Linked DNA regions of Neurospora crassa OR74A. The protein of the gene in region 5 interacts with the protein of the main gene of each other region in a pairwise test. Links are inferred from orthologs where the notes say so. Each region holds a gene or a part of one and is shown on either strand. Other genes may lie near its edges. The genes, in order: cul-1, NCU04461, NCU06402, NCU01119 and NCU05991.

Region 1 (6,175 bases), on a different chromosome or scaffold from region 5:
GGTATCGAAAGATGGATTCGTGTACGAACCAGATGGGCTAGAGCGGAGGAACGATTCCAAGATGAAACTGCGGCGGATTCTGAGACGCGGGGACGGCATGGAGCGCGGCCGGAAATGGGACCATCTCCGAACGGACGAACCCGTCATTCTCCACCGGAATGCGCACTACACGTCCAACTCGCCCTGGTCCGAATTCATCCACTCGTCGCAGTGGGGCCACATGCCGAATGAGCAGTCGGAAGTGGTCGACTACCAAACACTCGAGAAGCTGCAACCAAACTTGAATTTGCCCGTGCACCTGCCCGAATCCGAAGACGTTTACAAGTCTCGCACCGGGAGGAGGTCGGCCTTGTACAAGCGACTCTGGCAGCACGTCCTCCGCCATCCCTTGGTGCCGTTACTCTTCCGGTCCCTCGTACTCATCACCTCCATCTGTGCCCTCGCCCTTGCGATTCGTATCTACCAGCTCGAAGGTCGGCGGCGCTCCAACCAGCAAGAACTACAGAATCAGATTCTCGCTCGATTACGAGCCCTGCATTCAGCCTCCAATTCCGAAGGATACGTCGACCAAGAGCTTTCCCTGATAAGACAGATCTCGCCCGGGTCGTCAGAGCGGACTCAAGCGATAGTGGCGATTGCGGTGGACACGATAGCGATTCCCTATATCGGGTACATGCTCTGGGACGAATACACGGGCCGCCCATTGGGACTAAGGCCGGTGACGCAAAAGAGCGGGTTGGTGCTGATGGATGTGTTTTTCATCGTGTTCAAGGCGGCCAGCACGGCGTTGGCATATGAGGTGTTGGTTTATCATAACAGTCAAGATCGCTTCACGGACCATTTCAGCCAGGCGCTGGCCGCGTTTCAGCTGCTTGGGCTTTTTTTCTGGTTGACCAACTTTACGGTCAATGTGTTTAGGCTGGTAGTAAAGCTGGGAGGCGGAGATGATTTGGAGACTCAGAGGGGAAGGTAATGACGGTTATAATGGGCGGTCAAGCCCCGAAGGATATTGAGAGGGAAAGAAAAACAAAGCGGGGGAGATGAATCACGTCGAACGTCTCCAACCACCCGCATGGGAGCATACTTACTTGCATTTTCTCGTACTTTGTCGATACCTCAGCACGGTTCTGCCTCTGTGTTCTTTTGGGTGGGGTTTTTGGATTAGCAAATTAGCATACAGCGGTAACAAATAGTGTTTGATCAGTTGGTAATGTTGGTGATGTTGATATTAGCAAGGATGGTGATGATTATTACTCGATTGTATATGCATTATGAGACATGAAAAGGGGAACGGATAGCGAAAGATTTGACATGGTAAGGAGATATCATATTGCCTGCCGTGAGCTCCCAGCAGAAAAATACATGCAGTTTAATCGAATTCTGGCCACCAATGGTGTCCTTCTACAACATTAGCGGTTAAAGGGGCTGTAAACGGCTGACCTACCTCTACCTACAAGTAGCTACATCGTTGTCACTGTTCTGCTTTCTTGTATGTAAAATGCCCCGCCAGCTGTACATATGTGCCATCCCCATATTTTATTACTTCAGTTCCGGTTATTGTATTCATATTGAGAAGAAACATGGTATTATATCAATATAAGGTACATACCTTCATCAGATCTGTTAGCCGCCATTGTTAGATGTACCGGTAATGACGGAATGTACACTAGATGGTCGCCCGTCCCGCATCGCAGGGCATAGGTCGTCTCCATCCCCGCCACTTTCCCGTCCATGGTTGGTTCCCCACAATTTTGCGTGTTCGCGGTGGACGTTTACTGGCGGGGGGGCCACTGCTCTGGAGCCTCCATGCTGCTTGCTGTCAGTGTCAATCGATGCCTGCCACGCCGCTGCAGCCTGAAAACCGTCAACGAACGACGGCATCGCTCTATCATCCGGGCATCGACCACGGCAGCAGCAGCAGCAGCAGCAGCCTCGGGGGGCCAATCTGGAAACTGGAAACTCCACTCTTCAACTTGATTACCTACACTCAGAACAGAACATTGAAACCTGTCAGAACACCACCACAACAACAACAACAACAACAACAACAACCAGCCAAGGTACCTACCTCTACACCTCACCTCTAGGCTGCGACCTCACACCCGTCACTCCAAGGGAACAATCCTTTCTTCACCCGACCCGATATCCGATCAACCCGTCTGTCTGTCTGCTCACGGTCACGGTCCTTCTCCCAGCCGACACCGACGGACCTAAGGACGTGGTGACCCCCGCCATCCATCCGACCTTCCAGACCTGTGGCGCGCCTCATCGCTCAGGACGAGCTTCTACTTCTACGCCTCTGGCTGCCACCCAGTCCATTTACCCTTCGTCACCGGTCGCAGTCAACGCGCTTCCAACCTCAAGAACGACCGGTCGCCCAGATCAAACTCGTTCTTGCCCCCCCGACAGCCTCTGGACGAACACACGCGACCCAACACGACCTGGTCAGCTTGAGTTTTCTCACGGATTACGCCCCTCGTCCACCACCACTTGTCAGCCGGCATATTATTCCCAACATCGCATTCTTTCTTCGATTCCCGGCGCACGATCGCTCTTCAAACGAACATACACATAGACACAACAAACATGCCTCCGGCAACCATGATGATGGGGGCGTACGGGCAGCAGCCTTCTGGCAGTGATGGTATCGACAGCACGTATGTTTTCGCTCTCTTCGCTGCTGGCCCCTCTGCCTCCAAACAGCCGTACTGACCCTCTGCCAATCAGTTGGCCATACTTGCAGTCTAGTATCAACAAGATCATGACCAACCTCCAAGAAGGCCTCGACATGAGCAGTGTATGTTTCTTCCTCGCCCATCCGTCCACGTTACCCCCCGCTAACACACGCCGTTTGTAGTACATGGGAATCTACACGTTAGTTGGACGGATGCCCTATTTGTCTATACACTCCTTCAACATGGTACTAACTGCGGCATAGGGCGGTGCACAACTTCTGCACATCGCAGAAGGCCAACGGCGGTAGCAGCAGTCCGAGTAATCACCTTCCGGGAATCGGGGCCCAGAGAGGGGGTATGTTGTCTTTCCCTGCATTTGCCCGTTAAACAGATTGAGCAAGAGGACTAACATGCACCAGCCCATCTGCTTGGTGAGGACTTGTACAAGAAGCTGGCCAACTACCTGACAGACCACCTTAAGCACCTAGTCTCCGAAGCGGAGGCTCACAAGGACGAGGCCTTGTTAGCTTTTTACATTCGCGAATGGCAACGCTACACCAACGCCGCCAAGTATATCCACCATCTCTTCAAGTACCTGAATAGACACTGGGTTAAGCGCGAGATGGATGAAGGGAAAAAGAACATTTACGACGTCTACACGCTCCACCTTGTTCAGTGGCGTGACGTGTTGTTCCAGGCTGTCTCTAAGAAAGTCATGGACGCCGTTCTCAAGCTAGTGGAAAGGCAACGCCTCGGTGAAACCATCGAGTACACCCAGATCAAACAGGTGGTCGATAGCTTCGTCTCACTCGGTATGGACGAAGGCGACAACACCAAGACGACGCTGGAAGTGTATAGGTACCACTTTGAAAGGCCGTTCCTGGAGGCGACCAAAGTCTTCTACCAAAACGAAAGCAAACAGTTCGTGGCCGAGAATAGCGTTGTCGAGTACATGAAGAAGGCCGAGGCTCGCCTGGCTGAGGAGGAGGAGCGCGTACGCATGTATCTGCATCCAGATATTGCCCTACATCTGAAGAGGACTTGCAACCAGGCCCTCATCGCGGAGCACTCTACCCTGTTGCGTGAAGAATTCCAGGCCCTGCTGGACAACAACCGAGAGGACGACATGAGGCGGATGTACAGCCTCCTTTCTCGCATTCCCGACGGTCTGGAGCCTCTGCGGACTCGTTTCGAGGCCCATGTTCGCAAGGCTGGTTTGGCGGCTGTTGCCAAGGTGGCTGCAGACGCCGACAAGCTGGAGCCCAAGGTCTACGTCGACGCTCTGCTTGAGATCCACACTCAGTACCAGGGGTTAGTTGAGCGCGCTTTCAACAAGGAGCCTGACTTCACCAGATCTCTAGACAACGCGTGCAAGGAGTTTGTGAACCGGAACGAGGTCTGCAAATCGGGCTCCAACAAGTCACCGGAACTGCTGGCCAAGTACACGGACGTGCTTCTCCGCAAGAGCAGCACCGGAGTGGAGGAGGCGGAGCTCGAGAACACGCTGACGCAGATTATGACTGTGTTCAAGTACATCCAGGACAAGGACGTGTTTCAAAAGTTCTACTCACGCATGCTGGCGCGCCGCCTCGTACACAGCAACTCCAACTCGGACGATGCCGAGACCTCGATGATTTCCAAGCTCAAGGAGGCCTGCGGCTTCGAATACACCAACAAGTTGCAACGCATGTTCCAGGACATGCAGATCTCCAAGGATCTCAACACAGGCTTCAAGGAGCACGTCGCCTCCCTCAACATGGACGGCAAGCCGCTCGACTCGACGTACTCTATCCTCGGCACCGGTTTCTGGCCGCTCGTTCCGCCAAACACCAGCTTTGTTGCGCCCGCCGAGATCTCGGCCGACTGCGATCGGTTCACCCGCTTCTACAAGAACAAGCACGAAGGCCGCAAGCTCACTTGGCTGTGGCAGCTGTGCAAGGGCGACATCAAGGCGAATTATATGAAGGGCGCTAAGATGCCCTATATCTTTAGCGTGTCGGCGTACCAGATGGCCATCTTACTGCTTTTCAACGAGAAGGACCAGTACACGTTCGAGGAGCTTGCGAGCATCACTCAACTCAACGCGGACGTGCTTGAAGGCGCCCTAGGCATATTGGTCAAGGCCAAGGTTCTTACCGCGGAGGGTGGAGAAGGTGGCAAGATTGGACCGGGAGCGACGTTTTCGCTCAACTACGACTTCAAGAACAAGAAGTATCGCATCAATTTGAATGTGGGCATGAAGAGTGAGACCAAGCAGGAGGAGGCGGAGACGAACAAGACGATCGAGGAGGATCGCAAGTTGCTGTTGCAGGTGTGTGACCCCCTACACCCAGTAAGCGTGTTGATTAGAAAGCTAACGCAGAAACCACACAGTCCGCTATCGTCCGTATCATGAAGGCGCGCAAGAAGATGAAGCACCAGCAGCTTGTCTCGGAAACCATCAACCAGATTAAGGCACGATTCATGCCCAAGATTGGCGACATCAAGAAGTGCATTGAGATCTTGCTCGATAAAGAGTACCTGGAGCGGTTGGAGGATGATGAGCTTGGGTATCTTGCCTAAGTGGTCTCTGATGCTGTGGTAGGACCAACCACAGATACAACAACCTCGGAGTCTGGGTACTGAAGCGGTTATCACCAGAAGAGACAACGTGCGGGGTAAACAAATTAACAATGATCAAGCGGGAAAAAGTACGAATTAACTAGCCTCGATAGAATTCACACATACCGGTATTGAACAACCAGCGTGCTTTGTTTGTTAGTTTGTGATCTCAAGCGAGAGAGAGGGTGTGCTGGAAGGTTGAAGAAGTTGAGAAGAAGAAGAATAGAGATTAGCAGAAGGATTTGGGAAGGGGAAGGACAAAGAGTTAATGACAAATACCATTACAGATCACACATACTTACTATTACCCCATTATGAGTCCCTGTCTGCATGTGCTTCTATTTGGTCTTTGTAGAAGTGATTCAAGTTGTTTGACGCCGGTGAAGACTGAAAACATAACCGTGTTAGGTAGTAGGTAGTAATAGAAGAAACGAATCTTCACTTTACCCGACCCAACGAAGCCAGGCTATGAAGCGATACTTCTATGCTGCCTTCTATATAGTAGCTATGTTGGTACAGATACCTCCATGTACGGTAGCCACAACACTGACTAGAGGTAACTTACGGTATGCACTCACTGCGGTAAATCCCAAGGTAGGTAGGTACCTACCTCTAGATCACTTTGGTTGTTTTAGAAACTGCCCAGACTCTCACTCAGGGAAGGGAATGAACGAACCTTGCTCGAGCCTTGGTGTTTGTACACTAACTACCTCTACCTACCTAAACCGATAACTAAGTAGTGACTTTGTAACTTCAAGCATGATGATGGAAGCTGTCCCTAGGTATACTGCAACTCAACGACAACTGAGGTGACTGGACTTTGGGTAAGTAGCCAAGATAGTTGGTGGACAAGTTGATTACCGGATTATTTGACTAGGTACCTTACACAGTTACTGCCC
Region 2 (5,469 bases), on a different chromosome or scaffold from region 5:
CTTCTTTTCCAATTCCCACATTACTCTTTTCCTGAAAGCCTCTTGAAGCGCAACCATGACCGACAAAGTGCTTGACGACATCTCGCATCGTCGCTACAACCCGCTCAACGGCTCTTGGCTGCTTGTATCGCCTCACAGAACAAAGAGGCCATGGCAGTGAGTCCTCGATAGCCACACCGGAAATAAAGAAATACAGCGGGTTAGTTTGAATTGACGAGTTGCAATCAGAGGACAGCAAGAGGCTCCAGCCCTCAACAAGCTTCCTGAGTATGATCCCCAGGTGCGTAATCCCCGTCCCTTCATGACTTTATATTACTCTCACTCACTCTAACTGCAACCCAGTGCTACCTTTGCCCCGGCAACAAGCGCGCCCAAGGCGACTCCAACCCGCACTACAAAAACACATTCGCCTTCGTCAACGACTACAGCGCCGTCAAAGAGGAACAGCAAGAGTACCACCCTCGGAAGGACGCCGCTGGTGACGGCGACGATGACATTGCCTCTCTCCTCCTGCAAGCGCAGCCCGCCACCGGCCGGTGCTACGTGCTCACCTTCTCCGCCAAGCACGACACCACTTTGGCGGACATGAGCGCGACCGAGATCGTACCCGTGATCGAGACCTGGACGCGCATCTACGCCAGCCACCTGTCTGCCTCGCATCCGCTCAGGGACGCCGCCGCGCGTTCACTCAGCGAGATTCCACCTAACCCGGACGGCGAAGTCGAGCCCGCGAAAAAGCAGCAGCTGCGGTACATGCAGATCTTTGAGAACAAGGGCGCGGCCATGGGCTGCTCGAACCCGCATCCGCACTGCCAGATCTGGACGACGAGCACGCTGCCCGAGGAGCCGGGCAAGGAGCTGGCGCAGATGACCAAGTACCACCGTGAGCACAAGGGGAGGCATCTGCTGGAGGACTACGTCAAGGTGGAGATGGCCAAGGGCGAGCGTGTGGTTTGGCAGAACGACGGGTTCTTGGTCGTCTGCCCTTGGTGGGCTGTCTGGCCGTTTGAGGTGCTCGTCATTGCGAAGAGACATGTGCGCGCGCTGGTGGAGCTTACGAGCGAGGAGAGGCTGCAGTTTGCCGAGGCGGTGCAGGAGGTTACGAGAAGATATGATAACTTGTTCGAGACAAACTTTCCGTATAGTAAGTTCTACTACCCTCTGCAACTGCCCGAAGGAGAGAGAAAGGGAGAAAGGAGCTAACGGTATGAGAAGGCTCGGGTATTCATCAGGCGCCGTTGGATTGCACAGAGGAAGAGGCTGAGACGAGCTGGTTCCATATGCATTTCTACCCTCCACTTCTTCGGTCTGCTACCGTGCGCAAGTTCTTGGTCGGATACGAGTTAATGGCTGAGCCGCAGAGGGATATCACTCCGGAGCAAGCGGCTGCGCGACTCAGAGACTGCGGTGGTGAGCTCTATCGCAAGTCGTTGCAGTAGTGGAAATGTATGATGCGCTTGCTTCGCTTCTTGACCGAAAAGGGTATCAATAAGTGGTACATCTTCCACAAAGCCTATCGTCGGAGTCTTATTTCACCTAATACGCGATCGCGCTTCTTATGGTCATGATCCGAGTCCACTCGCCATTCCTTTTTGGGGGCCATGTACTGCTTCCTGCTTTGATTCCCAAAGACCAGCTGGTAGCTGCACCTGTCTTTTACTGGACGTAGTAACCATACTGCAACACCATCCACAACGTGCCGCCATACGCCGCCAAGAAGGGGAAGATCTGAGGTCCGCTGAAACGCAGCGTCTTGTAGATGAAGAACTCGCTCGTAAAGTGCACGGCGGCGATGACATGGGTCCAGATACCGAGCTTGTACAACGACTCGTTCTCGAGGTTGTAGCTCGCATAGAAGCGGATGATGCCGGCCATAAAGGTGTAGGTACCGAAGACGCGGGCCGCCAGCGGCGTGACTTGGTCCTTGGCAGCCGCCTCCTTCTTCTCCGCCTCTGAGGGCGAGACGGGCTTCAGCACGTCCACGCTGTCCTCCGGGCTGAATTTGCCCTTTGCGGGCGGCAGGGAAGGGTTGGGGACGAAACGGCCGTTGTAAAGGCGTCGCGTGTAGTGGAGAGTAGTGTAGTTTTGGAGGGCGTTTCCCATAGCTACGATGGAGACCTGGACGAAGGGCGTGTTAATTGCGAAACCATGTGAAGAGTCAGGGGGACCAGCAACCGTCAACTTACAAAGAAGAGGTAGTAGGGAAGGAGACCCTTCTCGCCCGAAGGCAGGAAAGCCTTGATAGCGTCCATTTGGTTCAAACAGTTATGAAGCGGTTTGTCGTCAGGGAAGAAAGCTATCGTAAGTCCAGGATATTTGTATTGAGAAGACCTTTTGTTGTTGAGGTGTTAGTTGCCCTTCCTGTTGCAGCTCTCCATTTGTTCCAGCGGCTCGAGGATCGGATGGAAACCACACTTCGGGCCACTCTCAAGCGCGAGAGACAGGGGTCATCGTAGCATCATGGACGCAGGTCCACGGGCATTGGACGACATTTTGGAGACAACAAACAAAATCCGCCAGGCTCCCCCTTCTCCTCTATCCATTGGCCCATGGCCAGCTCCGTCGGAGTTCAATGGCGGCGTCGAGTGAGTGATGGTTCGGCAAAAGCGGGGACAACCCAGCTGCCCAGGTCCTCTCGCCGGGGCCGCGGGGCGGGACGTCTCGAAAATCTTGGCGGCTGACACATGCAAGTGTACATAGTAGGCGAGTCGACCCCAGGTCCTCCAAAAAGTTCCCAACAATTATTTGCGACCGGACCCAACTTTGAAAGTGTCACAACTCCCCGATTCAAACCAAAGGCGTTCCTTCATCAACGACTTTCGCCGACAGTCCGTACGCAATGGATAAGGTTGCCGAGATCTGGGGCACTGTCCCTCAATATGGCCAATGGGCCCTTGCTGGCATCGGCGCCCTTTACGTCGCTACTCGCGTCGGCGCTTTCCTCCAGCTGCTCCTTAACGCTTTCATCCTGAGCGGCACCAACGTACGTCTCTTCGCAAACTTACTTGGGACTGAAGATTGTCAGGTGAATGTGGCTAACATCAACCTTGACAGCTCCGCAAGTATGGCAAGAAGGGCACCTGGGCTGTTATCACTGGTGCCTCCGATGGTCTCGGAAAGGAGTTCGCCCAGCAGCTCGCCTCCAAGGGCTTCAACCTCGTTCTCGTCTCTCGCACTCAGTCCAAGCTGGACGTCCTTGCTAGGGAGCTCGAGCTCAGATGGGATGGTTTCAAGGCCAAGACTTTCGCCATGGACTTCTCCAAGGACGACGATTCCGACTACGAGCGTCTCGCCGAGCTCATCAAGGGCCTCGACATTGGTATCTTGATCAACAACGTTGGCCAGTCCCACAGCATCCCCGTTCCTTTCCTCCAGACCGACCGCGACGAGCTCCAGAACATTGTCACCATCAACTGCCTCGGCACACTCAAGACCACCAAGGTTGTCGCTCCCATCCTCGCCCAGCGCAAGAAGGGTCTTATCCTTACCATGGGCTCTTTCGCCGGTGTTATGCCCACCCCCTACCTTGCCACCTACAGCGGCAGCAAGGCGTTCCTCCAGCACTGGAGCAGCGCTCTCTCTGCCGAGCTCAAGGACCAGGGCGTCGATGTCCACCTTGTTGTCAGCTACCTCGTTACCACTGCCATGAGCAAGATCCGCCGCACCAGCCTCCTCATCCCCAACCCCAAGCAGTTCGTCCGCGCTGCTCTCGGCAAGGTTGGCCTCAACAGCTCCGAGCCCTTTCCTAACACCTACACCCCCTGGTGGAGCCATGCTGTGTTCAAGTGGGTTGTTGAGAACACTGTCGGTGCCTACAGCTACTTTACCCTCAGGCTGAACAAGAACATGCACATCGACATCCGCAACCGCGCTCTCCGCAAGGCCGCTCGTGAAGCCAAGAAGCAGTAAGCGCATATCGCAGCTTCTAGCTACCATGTTTCTCACGTGAAGCTGGGAAGGAGCATGGACTTGTGGCATGATGGCTCTAGCCAAAAGACACATCCCATTGGCCTGCGTTACATCCACCCTTCGGACCCTGTATCTATTGTAGAGAAAATGAGAAACTTCGGCCCGTTGTTAGCAGACGAGTTCATAATGTGAGTGGAATGTACAGAAAGCTAAAAGATGATAATTGAACGATGATCATGAAGCAACCATATTTTTGCACAATGTATTTTTGGTACAGATCAAGAGCAGTTGCTGTCTGTCTATAGTTGATATTCTGAGTTGCAAATCCGACTTCTAGTGACGGGCATTCGATGACGTTCTCGACGATGATTGGACGGTTTCGACATTCTATAGGCGGTAGAAAAACATGCTTCCAAAAAGAGGTTAGCGCCTCTTCTGTGGTCCCCGCCGTCCAACTGCTCCGGCACACAGGCGCGTCCAAAATTCGCGTTTCAGGTCGCAGGTCCCAGTTGCCAGCCGCGAAACGACCGCCCTGGGCACCAATGATTCCTGCCCGGTCGCGGTAGAGGTACGTACCGCTGTCCCAGTTCTCCAGCCAAAAATTGTTTACGGTAGCCCGCCGCCGGAGCGGGCCAGCCTCTTCAATCTTCTGCTGTTCATCCACAGTCCACCTTCGACAGTGATTGCCCAATCGCGCGCAGAGCTTCCTTGCTCTCAACACCACAACAACAACTCAACCGCTTTCACCTCAAGCTGTGGTCGCTGCTCCTCGACCACGTCGCATCGTGTTGGACTTTATAGCTTCCCCTGGATTCCCAGACCTTCTTTGATGGTGGTGCAATTGTAGCAGTACACCCACCGACTGCAGCGAGCACCGCGCTCTCGACTTTGTGACCTCAAGCAACCAACCAACCAACCAACCAACTTGGGAGACCTGAAGCAAGAGGGCAAACGAAGCAAGAGCGACAACACAGCATCACAGCAAAGCGCGGAGAATCACGAAGCTGCCAGATCACGCTGCACCCTTGGAGCTCCAACTTGTGCCGACGCCAGATTTCCATCAGCCTCCATCCGCCTCGTTCTGGAGCTTCCCCTCCCCTCGACGCTCGCGACGAACTCTGAACCGCTTTTGCAGGTGGCACCGACAACCATCCCGCTGCCATCCCACCATCGTCCTGTCGGGTGTTAGCATCACATATCCGCCATCATGAATCCAGCCACACCTATGCGCCAAGTGCCCGGTGCATTCCTCAACACGCCCGCTGCGCCCAGGACCGATGATGCTCGACGCTACTTGGACTCGCTTCCTGAAAAGAACACTGCGAGGCCGGTGCTAGGAGGGTTCGGGTCCTATAATGCTGGTGGTGCCGGAGTTGCTTCCGGACCCGTGACTGGGCCCGTTTCGGGCTCTGTTGGCGGCGCCGGTGCTGGAACTGTTGCTGCTCCTCGTCCCGTCTCGCAGGTGCCTGTTCCAATGGTGCCAGCTCAAGCTCGCACAGATCTACCACCGGTTGCCAAGGCCGCGCGGCGCATCACCAATACCCTACTACGTGACGAGAA
Region 3 (5,865 bases), on a different chromosome or scaffold from region 5:
AACCTCTTTGGCGCGAGACCACGCCTTAGCCGGTGCGATTTGCGTCGCGTACAAACAGCTTTTGAGATACGAACTGAGCACATCGTCCCAGTACCATATCTCATCGCTGAGAGGCATGATTTGGTCAAAGAAGGTGTTCATCAAGATACCGTAAGTCTGAACCGTAGCCTTGGCCACCAGGAGCCATTCGATATCACGCTCATACTGGCTCTCAACGCCGACTTCTCCCTGCTGGGCAAGTTCCTTCTCCGTGGCCAAAACCGAATCCTCCAGCAGTTGCTTGATACGAGAAGGGGGCAGAAAGGTGCCGGACCGAGAGGCAGTAGACAAAATCCTGGCTATGCGCAAGAGCTCATCGGCACGGGGTGAAGGCGGCTCGCTCACGGCCGTGAGCAACCCCGTCTCTTGTTGGTCATGCTCGGCATCCTGGGTCGAGCCGGGCTCCAGTCCCACGATCCTGTCAATGAGTACGTCCAAGTGACGCACCTTGCTGTCAAGAGAAAAGTCATGTTAACACCACCGTCCATCATCGAGACAAACTGACAAGTATGTCCTTATATGAGAGACCCCGGAAGAGTACTGACTCGGCCACGATCGCCATGGTTCGACTTGTTGGTCCCCTAACCCTGCAAACGAATGGTTCTGGACTTCGGGACAATTACAGCAGGTAATGTGATATGAGGATGGTGGAAAGTTCCGAACTGTTCGGGATTTCGTCTCGCCGGTGCTTGGCTACCAGGCCCTTTCGCCGGAAATACGAAGGGAAGGGTAAGTAAGGTTCTCGCCACAAATGGCCTCTCAGCCTCGCTCAAAGACGCGTAAAAGTGGCGATATGGAATCTCGGCAACAACACTGGAAATAGTGACTGGATATGATAAAGTGCGATCAGGCCATATGGCCGGTACCCGTACTACGCCCCCACTTTTTTGGACCTCGTAGAACTCGCACCCCCTAAAGTGGGTGCTCACGGGTACTACGGCCACACCAGTAAAACGGCCAGGTCAGGGTTAGAGGTGCAGTTTTGAGGCTCGATTCGTAGGGTAAATCACAACTTCCCAACATATAGAAATTTCTGAGAAATAAAAAGCTGGACGGATACATTACTCTATTCTAACTATCCTCTAGCTCTTTCTTTATTTTCAATTAATTATTGAAATACGTTGTGGGCGTTCACTGTTTTGGTATCGTTTATCTGATTTGCACCTCTAACCCTGGTGGCCGTTTTAGTGGTGTGGCCGTGTTATTCGTGAGCACCCACTTAGGTGGGTGCGAGTTTGCGAGTCCCAAAAAAGTGGGGGCGTAGTACGGGTACCGGATGTGAAGATTGCCGAGATGGTCGGTTCTTGTTCAAGGCTTTGGGCTGTCACTGTCAAACCCGGAAATGTGGGATGAGGTGGGGATGTTTCTTTGGGCTTGACAAGCGGGGCGGGCGGGCGTCCGAAACCCACCGAGTGATGATCGATGACAGGATTGGTAAGGCGGGGATGGGAGCCGACTGACTTGCAACTTGGTTCGGCTGCGATCCGGCCAAAGGAGAAATGCGTGGTAAGATGAGGACAGTTGAGCCTCATCAATGAATGACCTGATGAGTTGATGACCTATTGTCGGCAAGATGTACACGTGTAGTTGCCGAGGAGAGGTGCGACAGAATATTGTAGTCAGACACAACCAAATGAAGGTCGAATCGAAGCTCAAATGTCAGCCTATGATGTCCAAGGATGGATTGAAGATGCCAAGCCCAACTTTCAAAGGCGGTGACAAACTGCCGATGCCAAAAGCCTCAAGTGGTCAACCACGGCATTGAAGTCAGGGACACAACTCGTAGTTTGGCAATGTTCTCTGAGCCATTACGGAATACCAGATGTTTTGCAAACATACCAGTCTGTGAAAGCATCCACGAACGAGCTTTGGGGAAAAAAGTGACGATCCCATTAAAACGTAGCGTAGCTGCTCCGCCCGCTGTCGCCGCTCAGGTACGTACCGTATGGAAATTACCGATGCCAACTGTGCCAGTTCGCCGTCAGTGGCTCAACGTGCCAATCCAACTGGTCCATCACGCCAACCCCCCTGGCGACCTGATTTGCCTGGGTGGTGCATGGCAGGATGGCAACGAACCAGCCGAAGAAGAGGTGGGATCACGGTGTGGATGCAATCGTTCCATATCACTGGCAAACTCCGGGCAATTCGAGGTTCTCGATGGGAGATTCCATGTCAAAGGGATGGAGATGTGTGTTGTATGGTAAACTACAGTAGCCTTTTGTTGTCAGTCAGCCGACCTCTACTAGTGTACCAACCGCAGTGGTGAGGCACGGTAAGTAGTGTACAGGTATGTATGAAAAAGTTATGGTTGAGATCAATACCACACACATGCCGCCGTATCTCCGCGTAGATCACTTCAACTTCCATTCCTTATCTGATGGAACTTCGCCCTCAGTTTCCCACCTCGCGGTGACGTGGTCAGTGCCTGTCACCCAAGGAACTCAAAAGATAGGAGCCCAAGGAGGAACAATGGCACATCTCAATGCACGGCAGAGCATGGTGTTGGGATTTCATTGCTTGGCGGGCTCTCAGTTTCATTGAGCACTCGCTGAGAGTCGCCGTCCGGTCATTCGAACTTGGTGAAACAACATCCAAGAGTGGGTCCGGAAGGCGGAAACAACAGCTTCGCAGTGGGCCGATTCTGGGGTCATTCCCGCCATTGGTCAACCCAACACGTCTCTCAGGGGCTCCCGCCAAAGGACACCAAAGGCAAAAGGACTTTAAAAAATCCAGCAACCCCTAAACTTGTCAGTCGCCTTTCCCTAGCATCCCACTTGCAAGAGGACGCGGTCGATTGTTTCTTTTTCTTGCCCCGGTTTCCTCCACGCGCATAGTATCTTCTTTCCTCGCTACAGGTCCCTCCTCGCGTTCCAACACCCAGCAACACCTAATTGGAGGCGCCTATTCTCTATTCGCCCACCATGGCTTCGGCAGTCCTGTACGTTCTTGTTTACCATCGTGCGCCTGTCAACCGTGCCCAGATCGAAAGCTGACTCGTATCGTCCCGTCATCTAGTAATGCGACCGTCGCTGGCCTGAGCTCGACAGACACGTACTTCACCGTCTTGGAGGAGGTTTCCAAGTACAATGTTCAGCTGAGCTACCCCGAGAAGCTCTGGGCGGTACGCGGCCCCTGCAACCCAACCCCGAAACGCCGGGACGAGACACGAACAAGGATAGCTAACGTTGGACGATAGGCGTGGTATCTGTGGATGCAGAACGACGTTCTCGCGACCGGTCTCATGAGCTTCTTCATGCACGAGATCGTCTACTTCGGCAGGTCGCTCCCGTGGATGATCATCGATGCTCTCCCCATGTTCAACAAGTACAAGATTCAAAAAGTTAGTGCCCAGCCAAGCATGACCTGAGACTCAAAAAGCAAAAGAAACTAACAACCACATAGGAAAAACGCCCCACCTGGAGGGAACAGTTCGAGTGCGCCGGTCTCGTTCTCCTCAGCCACTGCACCGTCGAACTCCCTCAGATCTGGCTCTTCCACCCCATCGCCACCTACTTTGGTCTCGACTATGGCGTGCCCTTCCCTCCTCTTTGGAAGATGGCCCTTCACATCTGCATCTTCTTCGTCATGGAGGATGCTTGGCACTATTGGAACCACCGCGCGCTTCACTACGGCCCTCTCTACAAGGCCATCCACAAGATTCACCACACGTACAGCGCGCCCTTTGGTCTCACCGCCGAGTACGCCTCCCCCATTGAGGTTATGCTCCTCGGTATTGGTACTGTAGGATCCCCCATCCTCTGGGTTTCCATCACCAAGGACCTCCATCTCGCCACCATGTATGTCTGGATTGTCCTCCGTCTCTTCCAGGCCATCGACGCCCATTCCGGCTATGACTTCCCCTTCAGCTTGCGCCACTTCCTCCCCTTCTGGTGCGGTGCTGAGCACCACGATCTCCACCACGAGCGCTTCATCGGCAACTATGCCTCCAGCTTCCGCTGGTGGGATTACTGCCTCGACACCGAGGCCGGTGAGGAAGCTGCCAAGGCTCGCCGTGACAAGAAGCTTGCGGCCATCAAGGCCAAGAAGGCCCAGTAAATGGGTGGAGTTTATGGATCCGCTGTTATGATACCGTTCACGGTATTCGTACTGTTGTCTTCCAAGGTCTTCTATTCGACCTCACTAATTTTGGACAACGCATCACCAAACAACGGGGAAGAAGGAAGGGAAGAACCACCTAACGATGGGAATTGGTCCATGAGACAAATCAGGGAAATAAGGATTCGATAAAGGCCAGAAACGGGTTGGTTTATTTTGGCTGAAAGATAAGAAGAGAGGTGCGGTTTTGGTCGAACACGGACCAACCGATGCACACCTCCATGCAAAAAAGGCGTTTGGAAGAGGAAGAGAGTTGCGTCGCACCTTTCTTGCCGTACGCACGCGGTGGTGCAGTTGGGGAGGGGGGCATTTTCCTTCTCGCTTCTATTAATTCTTGTACATAGCTGATTCCTTCTTTCGGCGTCCTCCTCGGCAAAGCACCACCCCGTGCCCAGCCCTCTACCCCTTCCATACAAAGCCCTTTTGATAATCTAGTAATGAGAGGATCATGAAAGTAAAATACATAACCTAGATACACTTACATACACCCTTGATGACTCCTGAGTGAAGCTTCTGTCAATTACTTCACTTCTTAAGGTGCGTAGGCGTGCAGCAATCACCAGACGAAGCCACGGCCCGGTCGGTCAAGTTGGGCATGGCGCAGCTGGCGCCAGCTTCCGGCTCAGTCTCGCCAAAGTCTTTGGCCAAGGAGTCGCAGATAGTAGCTAGTTCAATGTCCAGGGATGAGAGACCTTTGGGGACGTGAGTCGTCCAGCGAATGAAGGTTGTGTTGAAGACCTAGGCAGGGGCGGTGAGATTAGAGAGGAAGATAAGAGGGAGAGGATATGTGGCAAAAGAGAGCATGTAGAGGAGAGAGAGAGGATGTGGCTTACATTGGACCATTCGGGATGGTGGTTCTTGAGCTTGCATTGCAGGGAGACGGCAGTCATAAAGTCCTAATTGGGAGGCGTCGAGATTAGGATCTTGGTTATAACTCGGAATTATCTGAGTCTCTGGGTGTGTAACACAGTCTTGCATGCCCTATGAGACACGCTCGGTATATTGTAGCCACGCAAATCGTGAGTAATAATGGGGTCGGAGCTGTGTGCAACAAGGAGAAAACGAAGAAAAGAGCAATCATATATGGGAGGGGGGGGGGTGCATAGTAAAGATAAAGCAAGAGCCCGAATTTCAAAACCCATCCAAGAGTCCAAATCGGACGAGAATAAGCACTTCAGCCAGATAGACATAGTAGAGAGGTAGGTAGGTATATCAGATACCTTATCCGTCATAACTGGCTGGCTGGCTGGCTGGCTGGCGTCGCAGCTCGGTTTCTTTCTTTCATTTGTCCGTTCGGATTTTCCTTCATCATCAACACCACTTGTGCGTGCATGTATGTGATTTGACCATCCAAATCCGAAGCAAATCCCAACAAATGCGATGACACAGATACAGGTCGGTAGGTGATTTTTGAAGAAAGAAGGATAGACAAGTAGCCATGAAAACAAAAAGGTACCACAAACACTTCAACCACCCAAACGAAGAAAAGTCATTTCACTCAACAAAAAGTAAAGTAGAACAACACATACCCAAGTCTTGGCAAAGGTCTTGAACTTAAAAGTCCTTTCGATAGCGAGACCCTGCTGTGTAAGCGTCCACCTACCACCACCACCACCGGTGGACAAAAGCTTCTCAAGTGCCGGATCAAGAACCGCTGGGTCGGAACCCTCAGAGAATTGCGGCTTCGTTTCCGAAGGCGAAGACGACATG
Region 4 (6,090 bases), on a different chromosome or scaffold from region 5:
ACGCTGACGGCTTTCTCCCTGTCCCTTTCGCTGAGTGACGCTGTGTAGTCGCTTGGATGGCTTTTCGTTCTTCGACTTCTTGGCCTCTTCGCCGGACGTTCATCTTCGAATGCTGTGTGGTTTGAGAAGTCAGCGAAGTCATGTACCTGCCTGACGATACACTCACCATCCACAGAATAAGCTATTGATTCCTGACTTGAGAGGTCTTGGCTCGATTGACTTCCCTGACTGTTGGCGGAGCAATCTTGCGTCATCACTGTGTTTAAGAGGACATCGCTGCTGCGAATTCCGAGCCATCTTAATCCAAACACCTTGGTGCGCTCCTCGTGGTCCAGACGTTGGCTGCCATATTGGTAAGTCCGTAGAACAGAGATCCCATGGGGATCGAAGTCGACCAGGGCAAACATGAGTAAACGCGGTCGAACCGAGTGGATGGCGGCGAGGAACTTTCGTGTAGCAAGGTCGGGATATCCCTTTCCCTGTGTGTAGTTGTCAGCGTTGTTGCTACAAAAGAGGTCACATAGCCTTACAGTCACCAAGATACCACTTCCTGCTCGAGAGACTGTATAGTAGCGCGAAGCGGAGAGTGTTCGAAAGGTGGCCTGCTCAAACACGTCAGTGGAAGAGTCTTGTTAAGGATATCACAGGTGGACGAAATCATGCCTCCTTTTCAATGACCAGCAGCCATTTGACGGACTGAAAGTCGATCTTCCCAACTGCGCTAATTGATGGCAACAAAACACCCTGAAATAGTCAGTTAAGAGAGCTGCTAGGCGGACAGCAATGCTTACACTATCGGAAGACTCGGCACAATCGATCTTGGAACCGCCACGCATGATGAGTTCTACCTGGCCAGCAACGAGGCCCTTTGCGGTGGCGACCTGAAACACCATGAGCATCATGAATGGAGGAGATTGTCTGGAAAAGTGCCGAATACGTACAATATTCAAATCATTACGTCCCACTCCAAGTGTGAATGCAAGATTGTCCACCATGTCATCCACCACGCTCTGTGACCTGAATAATTCCATGTTTTGGTAGTAAATGTTCCTGCCGAAGTCAGCAACAAAATTACAAATGGATCAACCTTCAATCATTACGGACCTCTTTGTGACTAGAGTTCCAGACAGGAGTGCTTCGTGAGAAATCTCGATGATGCGGAACAAGGCTTCTGTATTTGATATAATCAGTGCTGCGAAGCTTGGCCAACAACAACTTGGTGGAGTGACTGACCAAATCTTCGGAGCTCTTGCGGGTTGCGTCCCGGAAAGCGTACGGAATCCATGTGCCGCCCATCCCTTGGATTTGAGGCAGAGGCAGTCGGGTCGAATACTTGCGCGTTAGTCGACCGCCGATATGGTATGGTAATGGGACTTCCGACACTGATAGCATCCACAATGGTCTCGAACAAGGCCTCGATCTTTGTGAGGGCATTATCGCTAGAGTGGCTCTGTGGTACGATCACGATGTTGTGAGGTACTCTAGCACTGCTAGCTCTTACCGGAGAAAGCTGCTCTAGAGGACGAGAGGGCCGTTCATGGGAGTTGGTAGCCGTGGGTTGAGAAGGTGGATGCAGGTACTGGTTGCGTATCGGACAAAAATACATGCTTGCAACAAACGGTAGTAGTAAGATGAGAAACCAATGTTGTCTAATAGTGCACCTGTATTTGTAACCGATGGGATACCTGATGTAAGCCAGAGCAGGGCGAAGAGTAAAAGTCGAACGGCATCCAAGGTTTGACCAACTTCAGCTGCAGTGAGTCCAATTGGGTGGGTGGACAAGCGGAAGCTCGAATGAGAACGTGTTTGAGAAGAAAAATTGTGATATTGGTGGTATAGTAGTGAGTACCAAATTACTTCAGAAAGAACAAACATCGTCAGGAAGGTGCTTCGGATGTTCTCTGTCTTTAAAGTGCGCCTTCCCATGCTGGAGGTTGCGAGTGTCTGATAAGTACTGTAGTACTTAGAGGTAGGTACCTCTAAGTAACTAAAGTAAGGTAAGTAGAATCGGGATCAAATGTCGTTGCTGGACCCACCCGACTTACACAGCACAGTGCAAACCAACCTGCCTGGTCCGGCACCATCCGATCTGCACCACTGCATCTCCAGACCCCTCCGCTCTCCCCACACCTCGGGGCCCCCAAAGATCTTGGCGCCATTGGCCCTGTCAAATGCTGGGTCGAAGCTCCAACTGAACTTTACGGGAACACGACACGACCCCTCCCGATTGGATTGGCGCATGGCCAAATCAGGGGTAATGTTGTGATGTCTGTTACGTCGTCAATTCTTCCTAGTGTATCTCTCTCCCAATCCGTCCTATCCTCTGGTCTGGTGTCGATCTTTGTCTTTGTGAATTTTCTTTTTCATTCTTGCTTATCCCTCCATCAATAGCCTCGCCCGTCCATGATGGCCAGGAAGCAGGCCACTGAAGCCCCGGCGGTCTCAAACGGATCACCCAAGAAACGGTCCAGCGCCGACAGCGATAATCACAATGTCAAACGGCCTCGGCTACAGGAGAGCACCGATAAGGCGCGTTGGCGTTTGAGCAGTGAGGGCGGCCGACACACATGGCACTATCTCGAGGACGACGAGGCTGCAAAAGAATGGCCGCAGTCATATGCTGACAAGTACTTCCTGGGAATGCCTCTGGTAAAACATCCAGCCGTAAGCTCCTATGATACCGATGTCACATGCTAATCTTGCTCGCCAACCTTACAGGAGCTCCCCGAACTTCCCAAGGCGACGAACCCCCTCGATGCGGTACGAAACGGCCTTACTTTCTTCGAAAAGCTCCAGCTCCCCGAGGGCCATTGGGGTTGCGAGTACGGCGGTCCCATGTTCCTCCTCCCCGGTGTTGTCATCGCTCGCTACGTCACCAAGAACCCAGTCCCTTGGTACTATGCTACCGAGATCAAGAACTACCTGTTTGCGCGAGCGAACCCCGTCGACGGCGGATGGGGGCTACACATTGAAGGCGAGAGCACCATGTTGGGTACGACGCTGAACTATACGACGTTGCGCCTTGTGGGTGTGGAGGCAGACCATCCGGTCATGGTGAAAGCGCGAGCAACAATGCATAAGATGGGAGGTGCTATTTACGCGCCACACTGGGCCAAATTTTGGCTCACGGTATTGGGCATTATGAAATGGGACATCGTAAACCCTGTCCCGCCCGAGCTTTGGCTTCTCCCCGACTGGGTGCCGATTGCGCCGTGGAGATGGTGGATTCATATGCGCCAGGTCTTCCTGCCTATGAGTTACCTATGGTCCAAGAAGTGGCAGGCGGAGGAGACGGACTTGATTCGGGAGTTGCGCAATGAATTGTTCGTGGAGGACTGGAACAAGATTGATTGGGCTGGAAACCGCAACACCATTCATCCCAACGACAACTACCACCCAAAAACCGCCTTCCTCAACACCGTCAACTGGCTTCTTGTAAACATCTGGAATCCCGTCTTCCGAACCAAGTACTTGGTAGAGAAGGCAGAGGCATGGGCGTCGGAGCTCATCGACATGGAGGACGAAAACACGGATTATTCTGACCTAGCCCCGGTCAACGCCGCGATGAATACCGTTTGCTGTTATGTTCGGGACGGACCTGGGGCCTACTCTGTACGAAGGCATGTGGAAAGGCTGGATGAGGTACTCTGGGTCAACGCCGAGGGTATGCTCTGCAATGGCACAAACGGCGTGCAATGCTGGGACACTGCCTTTGCAATCCAGGCTATCATGGACGCCGGCCTGACTGAAGACCCACGCTGGAGGCCGATGCTTATCAAGTCATTGGAATTCCTGGAGGACCAGCAGATTCGAGAAAACGTCAAGGATCAGGATAAGTGCTATCGCCATCCCCGCAAGGGTGCTTGGGCATTTAGCAACAAGGACCAAGGGTATGCAGTCAGCGATTGTGTCTCTGAAGCGTTGAAGTCCGTCATCATCCTGCAAAAGACGCCAGGCTTCCCTACTCTGATTGATGACCAGCGTATTTTTGACGCCGTTGACACAATGCTTACCTACCAAAACCCATCTGGCGCCTGCTCATCCTACGAGACTCCGCGCGCCGGCCAGTGGATGGAGGTTTTGAATGCCGCGGAAGTGTTCGGCAACATCATGGTCGAATATGAATATCCCGAATGCACCACGGCCGTTCTCACTACACTCTCGCTTTTCAAGAAACACTGGCCCAATCATCGCACAGCCGAGATTGACAACTTCATCACCCGCGCTGTCAAGTGGATTAAGAGCAATCAGAAGCCTCATGGTGGTTGGTATGGCAATTGGGGCATTTGCTTCACGTACGCCACTATGTTTGCTTTGGAGAGTTTGGCCAGCGTTGGTGAAACGTATGAGAACAGCAGATATGCCAAGAAGGGATGTGATTTCCTCGTCGCCAAGCAGAGGGAGGACGGTGGTTGGTCTGAGAGCTACAAGGTAAGTCTCTTCGTGCCTGGACCATCCTAGATCTTGTATGAAGCTAACCAGAGAGCAGGCATGTGAGACGGGCGAGTACGTTGAGCATCCAACTGGATCCCAAGTGGTCATGACCGCCTGGGCCCTTGTTGGGTTGATCAAGGCCAAATATCCCAATAACGACCCGATCAAGAAGGGCATCAAGTTGATCATGGACCGTCAGCAGCCTAACGGAGAGTGGCGGCAAGAGGCTATCGAGGGTGTCTTCAACAAGAGCTGCATGATTTCTTACCCGAACTACAAGTTCAGCTTTCCGTTGAAGGCACTGGGCTTGTTTGCCACACGGTATCCGGACGAGAAGGTCGTTTGAACGCTCAGCCGGATGCAGATATTGCTAGATGACGTTGCAAAGTTCGAATGGAGGAATGATACTGAATGGCCTACATAATGTTAATACATATGATTTGATGTCAAGATACTGTAATGTCTCGCGAAATTGGGATCCGAGAAATGTGGAGGTGAACACCTGTACTGTACAATTTTCATGACCTTCCTATAGCAGTGAATTTCCCTACTACAGAGGGATCTCGGAGGCCCAATGGGGGAGAGATTCAGTCTGGAAATACAGAGTTGTCTTCATATTTTGATTAGCGGATTCGTACCTATACGGTTTTTTTTTTTTTTTTTTTTTTTTTTTTTTTTTTTCCAATCTATGAGACTCAACGCTATCTGTTTAATTCAGTTCCTTTTGGAGATGGTCGTCGGCTTGGGTCCTGCCGAATATAAACCTGGCCATCAAGGTGCGCACTTGCTAGTTCCGCTACAGGGCAAACAGCGGATTCAATTCAATATAGGAAGGCGGTGAAAGAAGCATGCGCATTCCCTCCCCCTCCTGCCGGCAGAATCAAGCAAGAACCCCACCATGCATGACCGAACGGAGCTAGGCGCTAACAGTTACGTACCCCTTGATATAAGAAGTGGTAGCTGGTTCTTTCCGTTTCCATCAACCGACACCTTTTTAAACCAAACGCAATCCATTCTCTCCAACAACAGATTCCCGAGACGCTCACCTTCTTGTAGAAGTCACTTTCCAATCAAGCCCATACGTCAGAATCTCACTACAAAATCAGTTGTTTGACGCTCAACCAGAATGTCAGCAACCACAATCGCTCAGAAGGGCATCGATGCTCTCGCGAAGGGTGATCATGCCACGGCCATCACAAATCTCGACAAGGCACTCGAGTCTTCCAACTCACCAGCGTGGCTCCTAGCTCGCTCCAAGGCACATCAAAAGGCCAAGAATCTCGAAGCAGCGTTACACGATGCCGAGCTTGCTTACCATGCCGCAGCCGAACGTGGCTCTGGCACATCACGCAGCCACATGATCCAAGCCCAGTATCGCCGCGCTGTCATCTACTACCAACTCGGACGTTTTGCTGATGCAGACTGCTGTGCTAAGTGGAGCATGCTGCTCGCCGAAGGTCGACCAGCGAGAGAGGACGATGGTGTGGAAAAGAAGGTTGACTCCGAAGGAAATTATACGGTCACATACGACGAATTTCTTGCCGATAAGGAAAACCAACCAAAACCGAAAACCTCTGATGGTAATGCTCTCGCCGCTGCCGAGAAGGGACCGTATTCCACAGATTGGAATATGGCATTCTCGTGGAGAAGCCAGGC
Region 5 (6,226 bases):
CGGTGGCGGCGTCGGACTTGGAATTGACGGAGCGGGTGACCATGACGAAAATGAACAAAGAGTGGAAAGAGACTGTGAGGGAAGACCGGTCGTATACAACATAAAGGTCTATAAGAGGAGGTGGTTCGGGTTGGTGCAGTTGACCTTGTTGAATATCATTGTTAGCTGGGATGTAAGTGCCTACTTTTTTCCCCTTTTCCGTCCAGTCTTGCGCTATCTTTCCACCTTCGGGATGAAATGGTTCCATCGTGGTTCGAGATGGAAGCCGACACCTCTGAACTGTGGGCGTGGTTGGTTGGTGGCATATCGATCCCTCCCTTTTTACAACGGCAGCCACGCCTCGTGCCTTGAGCACCAAGCGAAGCATCTCGTGTACGGGATTGGGGCCGCCCGTCCTACCTCTACGCAAACGGGTGGTGGCCACCTCTTAGCGCCCGCCACGATGTTATTGGGCCTTTTAAAGTTGATCTATACTCCCAATGTCTGTTCGTGTACGCCACTTAGACTGGACTTGATGTTGTGGTGTTGTTGTGATCATATCTCAGTTTCCGTGTCCAACATGATTTCATTCGTCGAGTTCTGGCGATGCCCTGCATGAAAACGAAATACAATGTCTCACTGAGAGAACAGAGAACAAGAACTTCCACAGATGATAAATCACTCGTCACTCCAACCCAAACCGAGAAACCTAAACTAACAATCCTTCTCCAGTGGCTCACCTTCTCCCCCGTCGCCTCCCAGGCCGCCGCCTACTTTCGCACCACCGGAACGACCATCAACTGGCTCAGCACCGCCTTCCTCTTCGCCTTCGCCTTTATCACGCCCCTGGTCATCTATGTCCTGCACCTCGGCCCCAAGTTATCCATCACCACTGCCGCTGCCCTTCTGCTCATCGGCAACTGGGTCCGCTACGGGGGCTCCCACTCTTCCTCTCCTTCAGGTGGCCACTTCGGCATCGTTATGTTCGGCCAGATCCTCATCGGGCTCGCCCAACCCTTTGTCCTAGCCGCTCCCGCCCGCTACTCGGATCTATGGTTCACCAACCGCGGCCGCGTCGCCGCCACCGCCTTGACTTCCCTCGCCAACCCGTTTGGCGCCGCGCTCGGCCAGCTCATCGTGCCATTCTGGGTCGACAAGCCATCCGACATATCGAAAATGGTTCTCTACGTCTCCATCATCTCCTCCATCTGCTCCGTTCCCGCCTTCTTCATCCCCTCCCGGCCTCCCACGCCCGCTGCCCCGTCTTCCGCCACGCCCAAATTACCTCTCCGCACTTCGGCCGCGATCCTCCTAGGCCACGCCGAATTCTGGCTCCTTTTTGTCCCCTTTGCCGTTTATGTGGGGACCTTCAACTCCATCTCCTCGCTGCTCAACCAAATCATGGAACCCCATGGCTATACCGACGAAGAAGCCGGCATCGCGGGGGCCGTGCTCATCGTTGTTGGGCTGCTTGTGTCGGCCATCACTTCGCCCATCATCGACAGGACGAAAGCGTTTTTGACTACAATCCGTGTTGCCGTCCCGCTTATTGGCATCTGCTACCTTATTTTTCTTTGGATGCCGTCCACCCACGACTCTGCCGGCCTCGCTGGGCCTTATATCATTTTGGCCATTCTGGGCGCGGCGAGTTTCAGTCTGGTGCCGGTGGTGGTGGAGTTCCTGGTGGAGGTGACGCATCCGATTAGTCCCGAGGTGACGAGCACGTTGGCGTGGAGCGGGGGGCAGGTATTGGGCGGGGTATTCATAATTATTTCGGGGGCCTTGAAGGAGGAGAAGGGAAAAGAGGGGAGGCCGGATGGGAATATGTATTGGGCATTGGTGTTTCATGCTGTGGTGGCTATGGTGACGGTTCCGGTGCCGCTTTGTTTGGGGTTGTTTGGACGGCGGGACAAGGTTAGTTTGAGGAGGGTGAGGTCGGACGATGGTAGGGGGGATGGGACGGTGGAGGGGACGGCGTGAATTTCATCTGTTCCTTGCTGAGGGTCGGGGTACGCAATGGCGTTATGTTATTTATGATGGATGATGGATGACGGTGTATGTGTTATGGCTTGTTTTATATGTACGTGGATGCACATTGTCGTTTATACCCCCTGTGACGGGTTTTGGGTACACTTATTAGGATCATTATTTTGTATATATAGGTCTCTCCCAGCTCTGCTCGTCTCAAAGCAGTGCAGGCAGGAATATCATTTACTTTTAACCACCCAATTTCATCTCGTCACTCGTCACTCGGCAGCATCACTGCCTCTCGAGAACCCTGCCCAACCTGGCCTCCCACTCCCCTCTCAACCTCTCCATCTCCTTCCAACACTCCACCCCCAACATCTCAAACTCAACCTTTTTCTCCTCCGTAAGATCCACCGCCCCGGATTTTCTCCCCACAATCTTCCTCCCAATGCGCCTCTCCCCCTTCTCATTCTTTAGCTCCTTCCTCGTTCCAACCGTCCCATCCCACCCCCACCCTTCCACTTCCGTCTTCAGGACTCTGCACTCCCCCCAGAAATCTGTGCTCGATCCCCACTTGACGTGCTCAGCGTCCACCGCATCCAAAGCCTCTTGCTCCTGCAAAGCAAGCCATACGGGCGCCACGGCACCGTTGTACCCCGTTATAGGATGCCAGGGGGAGCCGAGCCAGCGCGCAATGTACAGCACCACGCGGTACCAGAAGAACATGAAGGCGTTGAGCGGGAAGAGGGTCGTTTGGACGATGCCCGGGTGGACGAGGTAGATTCTGGGTGGGGTAGCTGGTGCGTTTGACTTGGTGGCCGGCTGAAGATACGAGTCGACAAACGGGCGGGCGGAGGGCAGGGTGGCGGTCAGAGAGAGCACGTCCGTCAGCCGCTTGGTGCTCTCGTAGGCGGCGTTGGTCTTGATGGCTTGGAAGTCGGAGAGCGATAGGTTCTTCCACCCAGGCTCGATGGAGGATTCCCAGATGATACGGCCGGGAGGAATGGTAGAGTCAAACTCGGAGCGGCTCAGCAGCGGCACGAGCTTGTGTGCCAACAGGTAGTGGCCGAAGACGTTGGCGCAAAAGACTTGACCCATTTCGGGAACCTTCTCGTCTTTAGCGTCGGGCAAGGGGTTGACGACGTGTCCGGCCGTGGCGGCCTTGAAGGTCGGCCAGGTGGTGGCTTGGACGAGACCCTTGGTAAAGATGTTGTGGAAGACCTTGGGCCAGTCGAGACCGGTCCAGCCGCCCATGCCGGCGTTGAAGATGACCGCATCGAGACGGGGTATCCTCACGTCGGTGAGGGAGGTGAAGTAGACATCGTTGGCGTCGGCGGGGCTGCTCACGGTGCCGTTGACGAGTTGTTCGGCGGCGCGGTGGACGTCGGCGAGATTGCACAAGTCTAGTTGGACGCTGAGAATGTGGATGCGCTTAGTAATAGATCGGGGATCGTAGTTGGGACCAGCACGGGAGCGGAGGATGTCGGAGGTGGTTGCGAATTCGCGGGCATGTTGGCGGAGCGCATCGATGGTTTCTTGCGACTTCTTGACGCTGCGGGTGGTGGGGATGACGACGAGGTGGGAGGTCAGGGAGCGCGTCACGAGATACTCGTCGATCAGACGTTGGCAGATAGCGAAGCCGATACCACTGAAGTTGCATTGGTTAGCATGTCATCTCTATGAGGCAGGGCATGGATAGATAGACAGATGATGATTACTTACCTGTTGGCGCCAGTTACCAAGGCGAAGAGGGTGTCCTCAGGAGGGACTGAATCCCATGGTGCCGGGGCCATGTTTAGTCGGATGTTGTGACTTGCTTGACGGACTTGCTGGCTACAATGACGGACACAAAAGAGTTGCGACAGAGGAGAGATGGGATGCTGTCACGGTACCTACGTGTCGTCGGTCTGAAAGGGGTCCCGTTCGACGCCATTATTTTGTGGAGCCTTTCCGGCCCCTGTCCGATTGGGTTGCTTGTTTCATTCATCGACTTCCAACATGCTGACACGTGATTTCAGGTGAGTTTCTGTGTCTCACAAAAGAGAATCAACGAAGGTAGTCCATGGATCAATTGTACAAGTTGTGTTGATTGACAAAAGGTAGGTATTGTTCGATGACGAAGTGGGAGAGATGCCAGTCGTGAAATCGAACTCGGGGCACCACTTCCGGGCCTGGAGCAGTTACTTGGAGAAGTCCGTGCCGTTCGGGCATGTGGTGGGGCCCGCCCGGCAGCACTTTCACTTCCACTCGGCTTCCTTCTTTCCTTTCGTTTACAACCAAACAACCTACGACAACTCGCTTCTCTTATGATAACTGTCACAAGCATGAATGGCTTCCAAAGTCCTGATATTCACTGGAGCTCCAGACAGCCGGGCGCTTGACTGGGCCACCCCGGATCTACTTGTCGAGTTCGATGAGCCCATTGCCAGCTTCATGGGCATCCTCCAACCACGGGAAGAGCAGACCATCATCCCGGCCTCTGCTCCGACTCCTGCCGCATGGAGATCCCTTAGTCTCGTGAGAGAACGTATTTTCACCGGCTACACTCAACAATATGACTCCAGCTTCCGCTTCAACCCAGCTCACGGTCTGGAAGCAGTCGATCAGCCCGATGACTTTCTTACTACCGCGTCTATATCGTCGTCATTTGACGAATCGTCCGTCGTCCATGGCGACTTGGAGTCCCAGTTCTACGAGCACTCCCTTACGTTGCATCAACATGTCCGATCCTCGTACCTGGACGCTACATTGCTTAGAGAAGCAGAGTCGCAACACTCCATCACGTCGGCAATGAGCGAGGAGGATCTGGATACGGCTTCATTCTTGGAGACCACGGTTCATGCAGTGGATGGGGACGAGAACGTCAAAGAGCCCTTGACATTCCGTGGCGGTGACCGCCTTACTGACCTCAAGGATATCCCATCGGCCGCTTACCTTGTCAAGGCACAACCCCAGACCATCACCTGCAATCTGATCGTCGGCATCATTTCCATCTCTCCGCCACGGTCGGTTAGCACTCGCTGGGGCTTAGACCGCTCCCTGGTCGAGGTGCTCGTGGGTGACGAGACCAAAGCTGGCTTCACCATCACTTTCTGGTTACCCCCTGGCTGCGAAACCGTACAGGGCAGCATACTTGAAGGACTGCGGCATAGGGATGTGGTCCTCATTCAAAACGTCGCCTTGAACGTCTTCAACAAAAAGGTCTACGGCTCCAGTCTGCGCAAGGGTCTGACCAAAGTCCACCTGCTTTTCCGGGCAAAGCTCGACGCAACAGATGCCGGCGGTCATTATGCCCCTTCGGACCTATCCGTGACAGGAACGACGCATCCTCAGCTGGACAAGACGCGGACAGTGTGGGACTGGGTGCTACGGTTCGTCGGTCCCGGACCTATCACCACCGCCGGTCCTGCGTCCGCCAGGAGAAGAAGCCCTAGAAAGAGCAAGAACAACAAAGGTGCCTTAGCCTCAGCTGCTCGACCGTGGGATCTGCCACCCCCTGATACTCAGTAGCACGCCAGGAACACGTGGGTGTTTCATACGATTTATAGAAACAGGGAGATGAAGGCGTCGTATTTTTAGTCAACATTGGGGCTGAGCTTTTGGCTTGGGACGGGTCAACCTCGGGTTCGGTACCAAACCGGACACCGTGGGCAGGGCTTAGCGGAGAAATGGATCTGTCTTGGATTCTTAGCGGTGGAGGCTCACTTCGCTATTAACCCTACGCTACAGTTAATCAGTCACGGTGTGGCTGCTGCTCACGGACCCAAGGCGCTCCAACAGCTGCGCCCTTTGTTGACACGCAATCAAAGTGATCATGAATACGCGTCCCCCAGACGCTCTGAAACTCGTCCAATAAATGCCAAACATGGAGCATTGGAGTCCTCCCGACTTGAGACAACGATAAAGTTCAATCATTTTGTGCATGTCATTCTCGGTTTGCCACCCGAATCTGACTTGTCGAGACTGACAGGGAACTTGATGTTTCGGCAATATTCTGTACAGCGTCTTACACGTAGCAGCCCCTTGCCGCCCAGCAGCCTACCGTTTTAGTAGCCCAACTTACACTACCCATCCCTCACTTTAACCCATGATGCGGAGAAGTCATCGGAAGTCCCGAAAAGGGTGTCTCGAGTGCAAGAGACGGCATATCAAGGTGAGTAGTAGCCCACTTACAAAACTCAAGACTAATCACACAGTGAGTTAACACTCATCGACAGTGCGACGAAACACGACCGCGATGCATCAACTGCCAAACCGTTGAGAGAGAATGTTCCTACCC

The links.
Region 1: the proteins of NCU05991 (region 5) and cul-1 interact in a two-hybrid assay, tested with the Saccharomyces cerevisiae proteins (2 studies listed by BioGRID). The link is inferred for Neurospora crassa OR74A from reciprocal best matches to the Saccharomyces cerevisiae genes ERG27 and CDC53.
Region 2: the proteins of NCU05991 (region 5) and NCU04461 interact in binary tests that used the Saccharomyces cerevisiae proteins (3 or more experiments, as listed by UniProt). The link is inferred for Neurospora crassa OR74A from reciprocal best matches to the Saccharomyces cerevisiae genes ERG27 and ERG28.
Region 3: the proteins of NCU05991 (region 5) and NCU06402 interact in binary tests that used the Saccharomyces cerevisiae proteins (3 or more experiments, as listed by UniProt). The link is inferred for Neurospora crassa OR74A from reciprocal best matches to the Saccharomyces cerevisiae genes ERG27 and ERG25.
Region 4: the proteins of NCU05991 (region 5) and NCU01119 interact in binary tests that used the Saccharomyces cerevisiae proteins (3 or more experiments, as listed by UniProt). The link is inferred for Neurospora crassa OR74A from reciprocal best matches to the Saccharomyces cerevisiae genes ERG27 and ERG7.

Annotation. Positions count from the first base shown.
Region 1 is NC_026504.1:5,760,470-5,766,644, reverse strand, and holds cul-1 (Cullin 1), read left to right. Parts: upstream 1-1,954; 5' UTR 1,955-2,586; coding exon 2,587-2,657; intron 2,658-2,727; coding exon 2,728-2,797; intron 2,798-2,857; coding exon 2,858-2,874; intron 2,875-2,938; coding exon 2,939-3,030; intron 3,031-3,094; coding exon 3,095-4,986; intron 4,987-5,048; coding exon 5,049-5,237; 3' UTR 5,238-5,588; downstream 5,589-6,175. Other genes in the region: NCU05203 (hypothetical protein), read left to right, coding at 1-973. UniProt on the Saccharomyces cerevisiae protein: Core component of multiple cullin-RING-based SCF (SKP1-CUL1-F-box) E3 ubiquitin-protein ligase complexes which mediate the ubiquitination and subsequent proteasomal degradation of target proteins.
Region 2 is NC_026504.1:3,277,713-3,283,181, reverse strand, and holds NCU04461 (transmembrane domain-containing protein), read right to left. Parts: upstream 2,580-5,469; 5' UTR 2,253-2,579; coding exon 2,187-2,252; intron 2,119-2,186; coding exon 1,657-2,118; 3' UTR 1,440-1,656; coding exon of another isoform or gene 1,216-1,439; 3' UTR 1,145-1,215; downstream 1-1,144. Other genes in the region: NCU04460 (galactose-1-phosphate uridylyltransferase), read left to right, coding at 56-156, 229-280, 343-1,144, 1,216-1,439; NCU04462 (3-ketoacyl-CoA reductase), read left to right, coding at 2,840-2,983, 3,055-3,909; NCU04463 (non-repetitive nucleoporin), read left to right, coding at 5,117-5,469. UniProt on the Saccharomyces cerevisiae protein: Part of the third module of ergosterol biosynthesis pathway that includes the late steps of the pathway.
Region 3 is NC_026504.1:2,628,580-2,634,444, forward strand, and holds NCU06402 (C-4 methylsterol oxidase), read left to right. Parts: upstream 1-2,716; 5' UTR 2,717-2,960; coding exon 2,961-2,977; intron 2,978-3,054; coding exon 3,055-3,160; exon of another isoform or gene 3,161-3,235; coding exon 3,236-3,379; intron 3,380-3,441; coding exon 3,442-4,095; 3' UTR 4,096-4,664; downstream 4,665-5,865. Other genes in the region: NCU06403 (hypothetical protein), read right to left, coding at 1-490, 585-601; NCU06401 (hypothetical protein), read right to left, coding at 4,681-4,893, 4,989-5,051, 5,685-5,865.
Region 4 is NC_026505.1:2,959,094-2,965,183, reverse strand, and holds NCU01119 (lanosterol synthase), read left to right. Parts: upstream 1-2,207; 5' UTR 2,208-2,403; coding exon 2,404-2,649; intron 2,650-2,718; coding exon 2,719-4,431; intron 4,432-4,489; coding exon 4,490-4,780; 3' UTR 4,781-5,048; downstream 5,049-6,090. Other genes in the region: meiosis-specific topoisomerase Spo11, read right to left, coding at 1-112, 167-479, 531-602, 664-744, 792-881, 942-1,050, 1,105-1,171, 1,234-1,606; NCU01118 (hypothetical protein), read left to right, coding at 5,561-6,090. UniProt on the Saccharomyces cerevisiae protein: Lanosterol synthase; part of the third module of ergosterol biosynthesis pathway that includes the late steps of the pathway. ERG7 catalyzes the cyclization of (S)-2,3 oxidosqualene to lanosterol, a reaction that forms the sterol core.
Region 5 is NC_026506.1:3,162,042-3,168,267, reverse strand, and holds NCU05991 (3-keto-steroid reductase), read right to left. Parts: upstream 4,085-6,226; 5' UTR 3,741-4,084; coding exon 3,670-3,740; intron 3,596-3,669; coding exon 2,239-3,595; 3' UTR 1,960-2,238; downstream 1-1,959. Other genes in the region: NCU05990 (cell surface receptor/MFS transporter), read left to right, coding at 1-172, 712-1,959; NCU05992 (hypothetical protein), read left to right, coding at 4,276-5,457; NCU12126 (hypothetical protein), read left to right, coding at 6,038-6,100, 6,165-6,226. UniProt on the Saccharomyces cerevisiae protein: 3-keto-steroid reductase; part of the third module of ergosterol biosynthesis pathway that includes the late steps of the pathway. ERG27 is a catalytic component of the C-4 demethylation complex that catalyze the reduction of the keto group on the C-3.